Mus musculus: one gene and its partner. The protein of the gene in region 2 interacts with the protein of the main gene of each other region in a biochemical or structural test. Links are inferred from orthologs where the notes say so. Each region holds a gene or a part of one and is shown on either strand. Other genes may lie near its edges.

What was found. The genes of interacting proteins can lie anywhere in the genome.
Region 1: of the proteins of Psrc1 (region 2) and Asb7, one has a biochemical effect on the other in vitro, tested with the Homo sapiens proteins (2 studies listed by BioGRID, with this or other methods). The link is inferred for Mus musculus from reciprocal best matches to the Homo sapiens genes PSRC1 and ASB7.

What each region holds. Positions count from the first base shown.
Region 1 is NC_000073.6:66,686,639-66,691,424, forward strand, and holds the start of Asb7 (ankyrin repeat and SOCS box protein 7), read right to left. Parts: upstream 2,924-4,786; 5' UTR 2,462-2,923; intron 2,283-2,461; 5' UTR 2,185-2,282; intron 1,321-2,184; exon of another isoform or gene 1,246-1,320; intron 1-1,245. UniProt on the Homo sapiens protein: Probable substrate-recognition component of a SCF-like ECS (Elongin-Cullin-SOCS-box protein) E3 ubiquitin-protein ligase complex which mediates the ubiquitination and subsequent proteasomal degradation of target proteins.
Region 2 is NC_000069.6:108,382,319-108,386,851, reverse strand, and holds the start of Psrc1 (proline/serine-rich coiled-coil protein 1), read right to left. Parts: upstream 3,015-4,533; 5' UTR 2,926-3,014; intron 2,617-2,925; 5' UTR 2,586-2,616; coding exon 2,567-2,585; intron 2,479-2,566; coding exon 2,421-2,478; intron 1,883-2,420; coding exon 1,444-1,882; intron 560-1,443; coding exon 445-559; intron 353-444; coding exon 116-352; intron 1-115. UniProt on the Homo sapiens protein: Required for normal progression through mitosis. Required for normal congress of chromosomes at the metaphase plate, and for normal rate of chromosomal segregation during anaphase. Plays a role in the regulation of mitotic spindle dynamics.

The DNA of each region.
Region 1 (4,786 bases), on a different chromosome or scaffold from region 2:
GGAACCAGAATACTGCTCTGTCTTTACAAATCTGACCAGTGATCCTCATTTATCATCTCAGGTGAAAAGAACCCTCACTCAGGAGCCCTAGCAAATCAGGTTAACTCTAAAGCAGAAAAATACCCTCCGCCCCACTGAGAAGGCTAGGCACAAAATACATACTGCATTTTATCTCTGAAATACACTCCAAATATTTTATTACCATTTTTTAAAGTTATACAGTACTCTGAAGGTATCATAGTGCTGATCCATATTTAACCGCTGAGCCACCTCTCCAGCCCTGAGCTCTGTATTTTAATAGCAGCCACCCCTCAACTTGAGACTCTGCCTTGATTCATATTCATACACACACACACACACACACACACACACACACACACACACGCACATATATATGAATGCTACCCTAAATTTTTACACACACACATATATGAATACTACCCTAAATTTTCTCCATAGTACAGTCACTGGTGAATTTTTTTTTCTCTTTCTTTCATTTGGTTCTTTAAAACCCTGTTTCACTCTATAGCTGGCCCAGGTTGGCTTTAAATTCTCCATCCTCCTGCCTCAAGATTCCCACTCCTCAGCCTGGAAAGAACAGCAATTACAGTCAGGTACAAGCCTTTGATCCCAGCACTCAGGAGGCAGAGTCAGGCAGATCTGAGTTCAAGGCTATCCTGATCTACAGGGAGTTTCTGGACAGCCAAAGCTACACAGAGAAGCCCTGTCTCAAAGCACCAGAAATTAAAAAGAAGAAGAAAAGGAGGAGGAGGAGGAAGAGGAGGAAGAGGAGGAGGAGGAGGAGGAGGAGGAAAATATAGCAATTACAGTGAGAAAAGAGAGCTGATATATAGTATTTTAAAATTTTATTCAGGACATACTTTCTTTGGCGTGTAGTTTCAAGTCTTAAAAATGTGCAAGCCACCAGAGCCCCTTAAAATTATCTTTATGTCTTAAAGATCAGTAGAATCAAAACATATTATTTGTGTTTGTGTGTGCAAGCACACACACACACTGGCAGACAAGACAGAAAATCTAAAGGAATAAAAGCCTACCATTTTGAATACTTCTTTGTACTGAAAATTTCAAAAAACAGTTGAGATATTAAAATAAATGAGTCACTTTTTATACGTGATAACAAATATTATAGTTATTCATTAGGCAGTCTCTAGGTTGTCCTTGTATAATCTCTCCCTATGGTTTATTTGTATACATTCTCTCTTTATATTAATGTTCTAAACTTACCTTTTGGGCATTTTCGGAGGCAGCAGAAATCTGAGCACATGACCTAGGTGCTTATATTTCAATCTAGTAAATTCTCTGTAAGGGTTTTAAAATGAGAAAACAAGAATGACCACTGCCAAAACCAAGCAGCAGATAGCTAAACATACCAAAACAATACTTTGTTTCAAAATTCCTGACTGTGCCACTATTGTCAAGGAGATACATTGTAAATTTTTATAAGTTCACCTAGAACACCAGAGATGTAACAAATACTATGTATCACTTCATAACAACTCCTGGTGTCCATCCACTTTTCTCACACAAACACACAAGAACACCCATAGTAAACTATATACTTTGTTTCCGGGGCTAATAGTGCTTTTATACAGTTCCTATACTGTTCCCATTCTTAAGCTACACACATTCACTTGTTCCAGGAAAACCAAATCCAATTATTTTCTTCAAAACCTGTAAGTTTCAGTCCTCCTGTTCACCTTCTGCTACTAAGTCATTATCAGTTAGGTAACTCTGAAGCTTTCCTGATGGAGGCATAGAGAGAAAAAAATGTACATGGGCAAAACAGTAAACTGTGGTTTAATTAAAAGCAGAATCATTCAGAATTAACAAGCAATTAACATGGAATTGAAGAATTCCTATGAGAGTATGTAAGGCGGGGAACTACAAAAAGGTCTCCAAGCCTCCGAGCAGAGTACATGACACAGTATACCAAAAGATAATGCAAAACACGGAAACGCTCTGATCAGGTCCCAGAAGACGTTTCTGGGCTAGAGAAGTTACTGGGGTGTTAAGGACCAGGCATGGGCAGTGCTTCTGGTTTTGCTAGGAAACTAGGATCTAAGAAAGCTTGCATTCCCAGGCAACCACCCTGGAAATAAAGCGTTACTTAATGAGGTAGGGGCCAGGAGTAAACAATGGGGGAAGGGAGGTCTGCCTCTTTACCTTTCAAGAGGATGCTGGTCCAAAGCACTCTGTTTATTGCTCCTCTGGTGGGTGGCCAGACCCCTTCTACTCGCGAGTGTCCTCCAGCAAGCTCAAACCTGGAAAACAGAAACCGATCAGTGGTGCAGTGATCCAGGGGCGAGGAGAGGGCTCTGAGGATGGGGGAGCTTAGCAAAGGCTGGAGGGTGGCAAGGGCAGGCAGGCTAGAGCAGGGCTTCTCCCCCAACCCCCACCCAGCCAGCCCCCTCCCCTCAAGGGAGGAAGAAACTGACTTTACCTGTGTCCTCAGTTGCAGCTCCTCTCTCTCCTTTCAGCCTCCTGCACATTCACCAACTTCTCCATTGAAGAAACACCCCAGGCAGGGCCGGACACCGTGTTCCTGATCCTCCTGGGTGCTTCACGGCCCCAACCCAGAGAGCATCCAGATAGTCGATCAGGCTGGGGGTGGCGGTCTTGGCCTCGGAGCAGCCTCCGGGAAGGGGCGCTGGGAGGAAGTGCCGGCTGGGTGGGGGGGGGGGGGGGCAGTCCCGGTCCAGGGGCTCAGACCAAGGGTCTGCCGCGCGCCGGGCCGGAGGCTTTCAGCTACCGAGGGACTCAAGAGGTCTGGGGACAGAGAGACCCTAAGTCATACCAGGTCCGAAGTGTCAGCAGCAGGGTGTCCCGACAGGGGGCTTTCGGGATGCACTTTGCACTGGGCCACCCCCGCCCCCTCCTTCCAGCACTTTGGGGTCACTGGGATGGGACCAAGCCTTCGACAGCCAATCAGCTGCCGCACTGGAGCCTGCGCTCCAAGCCGTAAACCAGATCCGCGGTGGGTGGGGGTTGGGGTAGGGGGTGGGGGCGACTTGGTTGGTTGGTTGCTTCCTTCTCCTCACACAGATGCCCCCACCCCCTGGCTGTCGTAAAGCTGCCCGCGGATTCGCGACAGTTAGAGGAGGCGGGCTAATAGAGGCTGGGACTTGTCTCCGATTGGTCGCTCTCCCTTCGTCCCCTCCGCTTCCCCGCAGCGGTTCTCCAGGCTCCACCCCCAGCCTGGAGACTCTAAGCGGTTGCTAAGAGACACTGTACTACGAATGGGGCTTCTACGCCTGCTGAGGGAGGGGCCGGCAAGGCCTTCCGTGGAGTACGGTGGCCTGGAGTAGGCAGCTGTGGGCACGAGTGGCCGGGCGATGGCTGCGTGGCCCGGCGGGATGGCAGCCAGGTAAGCAGGAGCCCAGGTTGAGCTGGGTGGCTGGAGCGACACGTGCGTGGCAGGCTGAGCGACGGGGGAGGCGACAGGGCCGAGAGCAGGCGATGAGGGCCCCTACTCGTCGTCGCTCTGCGGTGCTTCTTGGAAGCGAGTGGCGATGTTTGGTGCATCTGTCGGTCTCTGAGACCCGGTTAGCTTCCAGGCTGCCTCGCCCAGCCTGCGAGAGAGCACGCTCTTTGGGATCGCGAGGCTGGTTCAAGGGCTTGCCTGCGAGGATAGCGACCCTAGTGGTTTCTTGTGAATGAAAAGAGCCGGGGGAGGGGGGCGCAGAGTGGGCACATTGATACATTGTTTAAATGCATTGATTCTTTTAGCAAGTGTCTACTGGGTTGACACTACTCTAGTTGTTGGGGAGACTTTGTGAACTTTTCTTTCCTTTCTTTCTTTTCTTTCTTTTTTTTTCTTTTATCTTAACAAGAGAAGATGAAACTGCAGAATGATTAGGGAAAAAAAAAAACCCACAAAGTAATGGAATACAGTTTGACTAGGATGCGCTAGACTCTTAGATTGTGAGCCAGGTCTCCCAGAGAATGACATTTATGCTCTGTGAATGACAAAAAAAACTAGCCAACAAAGATCTGAGGGAAGGCCTTTACAAGCAGTTAATCTGAAGTGCAAAGCCTTTGGTACTTTAATAAGTTTAGGGGAACTGTGACTGAGTAAGGGGAAGAAAGATGGAAATGAGATTAGGGGGTGTGGGCAGACTGCAGATTTTGCAGGAATGTATAGGTCATGCCAGAATGATTCCCGTTTCTATGTTTTGCATTGATCACATAATAGAGAAAGCTGTTATGGGAATTGGATTCCTGGGGATGATGTAACCTATTGCGATATTTTGTTGCAGGTGGGAGTCAGTGTTCGATTTGCCTCTGGGTCTTTTTTTTTCTAGGCTGATACTCGTAGAAAAAGTATTCCTTTGATGTCTTCCACAGGAGTAACTTCTTTTTTTTTTTTTTTTTTTTTTTTGGGATTATTCAGACTTAAAAAGAGATTCTTTTTTTTTTATTTTTTTCATTTTTTATTAGGTATTTAGCTCATTTACATTTCCAATGCTATACCAAAAGTCCCCCATACCCACCCACCCCCACTCCCCTACCCACCCACTCCCCCTAGGAGTAACTTCTTATGTGGACAGACTAACTTCGCTAATTCCTAGAAAAGGTTATAAGTAAGAATAAGGGTTTGATGTGGTACCAAAACTGAAATATCTTGAAGACAATAATACTATGGCTTTGACAGGGAGTTTTGGGCTGGGCTGTCTATTCCTGACTTGAATATATACAAGAGTAGATAAAAGACAACGGAATATGATTTCCTCAGAAAAGGGGTTAGTGAAAGCCCAAGTTATCTTCT
Region 2 (4,533 bases):
TATATAGCTAAGGCTGGCCTTGAGCGTCTTATTCTCTGGTGTCTACCCTCTGAGTGCTGAGACTACAGAAATGTGCCACCATGCTAAGCCTGACCATTTGTCCACTCTATCTTACCTCTGTGCCCTATGGCGCTTGGATGCCCTTTCTGAGTTGAGAGAGAATCTGGAGCTAGGGCACCTTTTCCAGGTGGTAGACTCCGCCCAATGAGTGGCACTCGGGTGGCAGGCTTGGGGATGGCTGAAGGGACAGGGAGTCGACTGGAAGACTTGACAGCTGCTCCCTGGAGCCGGGATGAACATTGGGAGTTGCTAGCTGAGGACTGTGGAACTGGTCTGACAGGAATTGGTGGGCCTGTGGACAGGAGTGTAGTCGGGTCAGGGTGGAGCTCAGCTCCTCTCTTCCCCTCATCAGCCTCGCCCACATCTCTGCTGCCTGGGTCTCACTTGCTGTTGTCCGGGCACCGAACCCAGTTTTCCGCCGAGGTGGAAGAATTGGTTGTGCAAGAGGAGAGCGCCCCGGGCTTTTGGATGCAGGGAACAGATTGCAAGTGGGTGATTCCTGAAACAGAACAAGGAAGGAAAAAAAAGACCAGAGTGGAGGCAGTCTGTGTTCTGCTGCCTTAAGGAGAGGAGATAGTAGGTAGGGCGTTGTCTAGAACCTATAAGGAAGATATCAGCCAGCAAGATCTACCTACCTACCTACCTTCCTTCCTTCTTTCCTTCCTTCCTCCTCCCCCCTCTTTCAAAGCAGGGTCTCTCTGTGTAGCCCTGGCTGTCCTGGAACTCACTCTGTAGATCAGGCTGGCCTCAAACTCAGAGATTCGGCTGCCTCTGCCTCTAGAGTGCTGGGATTAATGGCGTGCGCCACCACTGCCACCCGGCTACTTTCCTTTTTTTAAAGTCACTTTATATTTATTTCTTTACTGTATGTGACATACACATATGTGGCAACATGCATGTGTAAGTCAGAGGACAGCATGTGGGAGTGTGCTCATCACGTAGACAACAGTCCTCACATGTAGGTCACAAGGCTTGAACTCAGCTTCATCATCCCTGATGGAAAGTGCTGTTACTCACGGAGCCATCTCACCAACTTATTATTATTATTATTATTGTTATTATTATTATTATGTTTTGTTTTAAATGAGGGAGTCAAGTAGCCCAGGTTGGTCTCAAGCTCAGCATATAGCCCCCTGGGACTGACCTTGAATTTACATTTGCCACATCCATTCCTGTGATGCTGAAGAATCCAACCCAGGGCTTTGTTTAGGCTGGGCAAACTCTAGCCACCTGGCCAGGTCTCCAACCCAATTTGCTTAATCCTAAAAATTCCAGGGGATAATTAACTGTGTTCCTCTGCCCTGTATGGGAATGACACTACGCCTTCAGTGTCTCCTGCACCTTGTCTAGGTGTACGCACGCATGTCCACTCTCCACACTCACCTTCTTTATGCTGGAGGGCTTCTTTCCGGATGCCACCCGGACAGCCCTGGCTGACCCCTTTTTATCACTGCTCCGGAGCCCAGCTAGGCTGCTTGGAGGTGGGGTGCTCCAAGAACTCACGGTGGGCAGCAGATCTCGGACAGGGCTATCCTTCAGGACGAAGGTCTCCCGCCGAGGACTGGGTTTCCCTCTGGGGCTGGGCCTTCCAGGGCCTGTACCAGCCCTCTCCCGATCTTTCAGGGCACACTCCTCCAGCTGAGCCGCCAGGCGGTTGGCTTCATCAAGAATCTCTTCCAGCTTCTCTGGGCTGAGCGGGCCCAAGCTAAACCGCACACCCTGGAGGGCGGGAGCTACTTCATTTGGGTTACTCCGATGGGCGAGGCCCCGTCGAAGTGGTTTCTCTGGACTCACTAATACTGTTATGTCTTCTTCCTCATGACTGAAAAACAAATATGGCACCATGCTGGACAACAGCTAGCAGAAGGCATTCCTGTCGGCGAGTCGGGGACAATCCCCAACCCTGACTCCATTTTGGCCATGAGAACTGCTTTTAGGTGAGGAAAACTTAGTTCTACTCCCATTTTCTGAGACAATGTCTCAACTCTATAGCACAGAATGATCTCAAATTCAAAATCCCTCCTGCCTTCTCTCTCTCTCTCTCTGTCTCTCTTTCCCTCTCTCCCTCCCCCTCTCTGCACTCTAGTCTATCCTAGGAGTGTGGGGGTGGTTTGCAGGGCATGCCTCAACATGCCCAGGGACATTCATCTTTCATTTACATTTACCCCTAAATTTCCCTACAGCTTCTCTGTTCTCACCAGCATGTGTTCTAGAGGCCCAATTCTACCAGACTACTGCCATCAGAGGGTACCATACTCTGCTAGATTACCAACCACGGTTCTAGAGGCCCATAAGTTAGCAGTAAAGGGTTACAGATGTATTGCCGGAGGAAAATAATAAATGGATAAATAGGCTGGTACCTGTCAGATGGAGACAGCCCTCCGAAGTCCAAGGTCTCGTCCACAATGAACTTGATATCTGAAGGGATGAGAAGAATAAATGCCAGCTATCAGTTCTTGACAGACAGACTCTCAGGGGCCCGTTCCTCCCTCCATGGCTTCCTTACCCTCTTTCAGATCCTCCATGCTCAGCCAGCATAAGCGAGTCGGCTTAGACCTGAAAGAAAACATGCCTACCTCAGGTGTCTATCATCCTGCCTTAGGGCCCCATCAAGACTCGGAGTGCATTAGCTGGGGTGAAGAGGCATGGTGGTGGTAAAGCAGGATCAGCACGTGTCCCTGAAACTAGTCCGTTATATTAGGGAAAGGTGCAGAAAGCTCGACACCTGATGTGCAATCCGCCAACTTGCGCCCTGGCCTCTCCTCAGTCGGTCAGTCTTCACCTCCATCCTTACTATTATCCGAAATTTCGCTCCCCCCCTACCCCACCCATTTTCCACTCCGCGGCACCACATCCCCGCCACACCTCCAGCGCACACTCGGTTTCCACTCCCCACCTCGCTTCACAGTCTACGCAGGAAGCTTTTCTTCTACAATCTCCCAGTTCCCGGGAAAGGGCTCCCGAGGGGCGGAGCTTCGTTCGAATTTCTTAGGCTCCACCCAGTCCCGCCACAAACGCACAGCGATTGGTGAGTCCAAGGGGGCAGGGCTGAGTCGGGAGCAGTCGGGATGTCAGCCGGAGAAGATTGTCCCTTGGACCAAAGGGCACTTCCCAAAAAGGGTAGGGGGCTACAGCGGAACGGCGGGAGGAGCCGTGAGTGCGCGGTGGCGTGTACCGGAGCGCCTCCTTCTAACCGCGAGTCAGACAAGGGGAGAACTGTCGAACCAATGTAGGCTTGGAGCCCCGCCTCTTCCCCCACCTCCTGGATTCCAGCATCTGAGACTGGGTTTCCTTGCTGGGTTTCTCGCGTACTTGCAGAGACCACCAAATAGACCATCTCTCCAGCACTGGAGCCACAAGATTTCTTCATTTAGCATAAGGCCACTTCTCTGAGATATCTGGCATTTTTTTCTTCCTGCTTCAACCCCAACCCCCAAACGATGAGTATGAGCAGCTATTTAAGAGTTTAAATAAATAACAAAGAAGTCATTCTTCCAGGCAAACAGTAAGTAGTAATAATAATAAAAGATGTCAGAGCTGTGCTCCCTAAGTGCAAAAGGATTACCTATTGCTAAAGATCTTGTTCGTGTGAAGAATTTATTTCTTCGCCAGGATGCTGGAGATGTGTGCACTTTAATGGTGGGCCTGTAAAAGTTCAGCAAATAGCATGGTCTGGCGCATCCTTAGAGCACAGTCACTACCACCTTCTACCCTAGGCTTGCTTCAGGTTGGAAAGAAGCCTTTGCTGTTGTGAATGTTGTTGACTGGCTATGACCAGACCACTCCTCTCCATTCACTGATACACACACACACACACACACACACACCATCTGTTTCTTTTCCCTTTGTTTTTTGCTATTTTCTGAGACAGAGACTAGTGTAGCTCATGCTGGCCTTTGAATTCACCATATAGCCAAGGATGACCTTGAAGTCCCGACCCTCCTGCCCCTACCTCCCAAGTGCTGGGACTAAAGGCCTGTGCCACTCTACTCTAGGACCATCCTCTGAGACATCTGCAAACATCTGCAAGCATCTTCAGGAGTTCTGTTGCGCCTGCTTCGGAAAGACCATCACAGCTGGGCCTGTGGACGGTTTACCTTCCGTCATAGAAGGAGGAGGTGGGACAGAAGGTCACGGGACCTTCACCTGAGTATGCAGCCGTCCCTCTCAACCAGCTGTATGCAATTCTGTCCTAACTGCAGATGGTTTGGGGGAAGGGGCTAGAGGATAGAAGTGGGAAGAGGCAAGGGGAAGTCTCCTTAGGGAAGTCACCAGAGCTGCTTCAAGGTCATCCGTGCCTACACCCCTAACCCACTGCTCTGTAAGTAAGCTTATCTTATCGAGTTCATTGGTTCCTCTGCATAAACTCTGGGTGGGGGATTCCTCCTGTTGTTTGACTTTGGGGAGGTAAGAGAAGGTGTAGACAAGGTGGTTTATGTCTCTCCCAGGGAAGACATTTTAGCAGCAGCCACC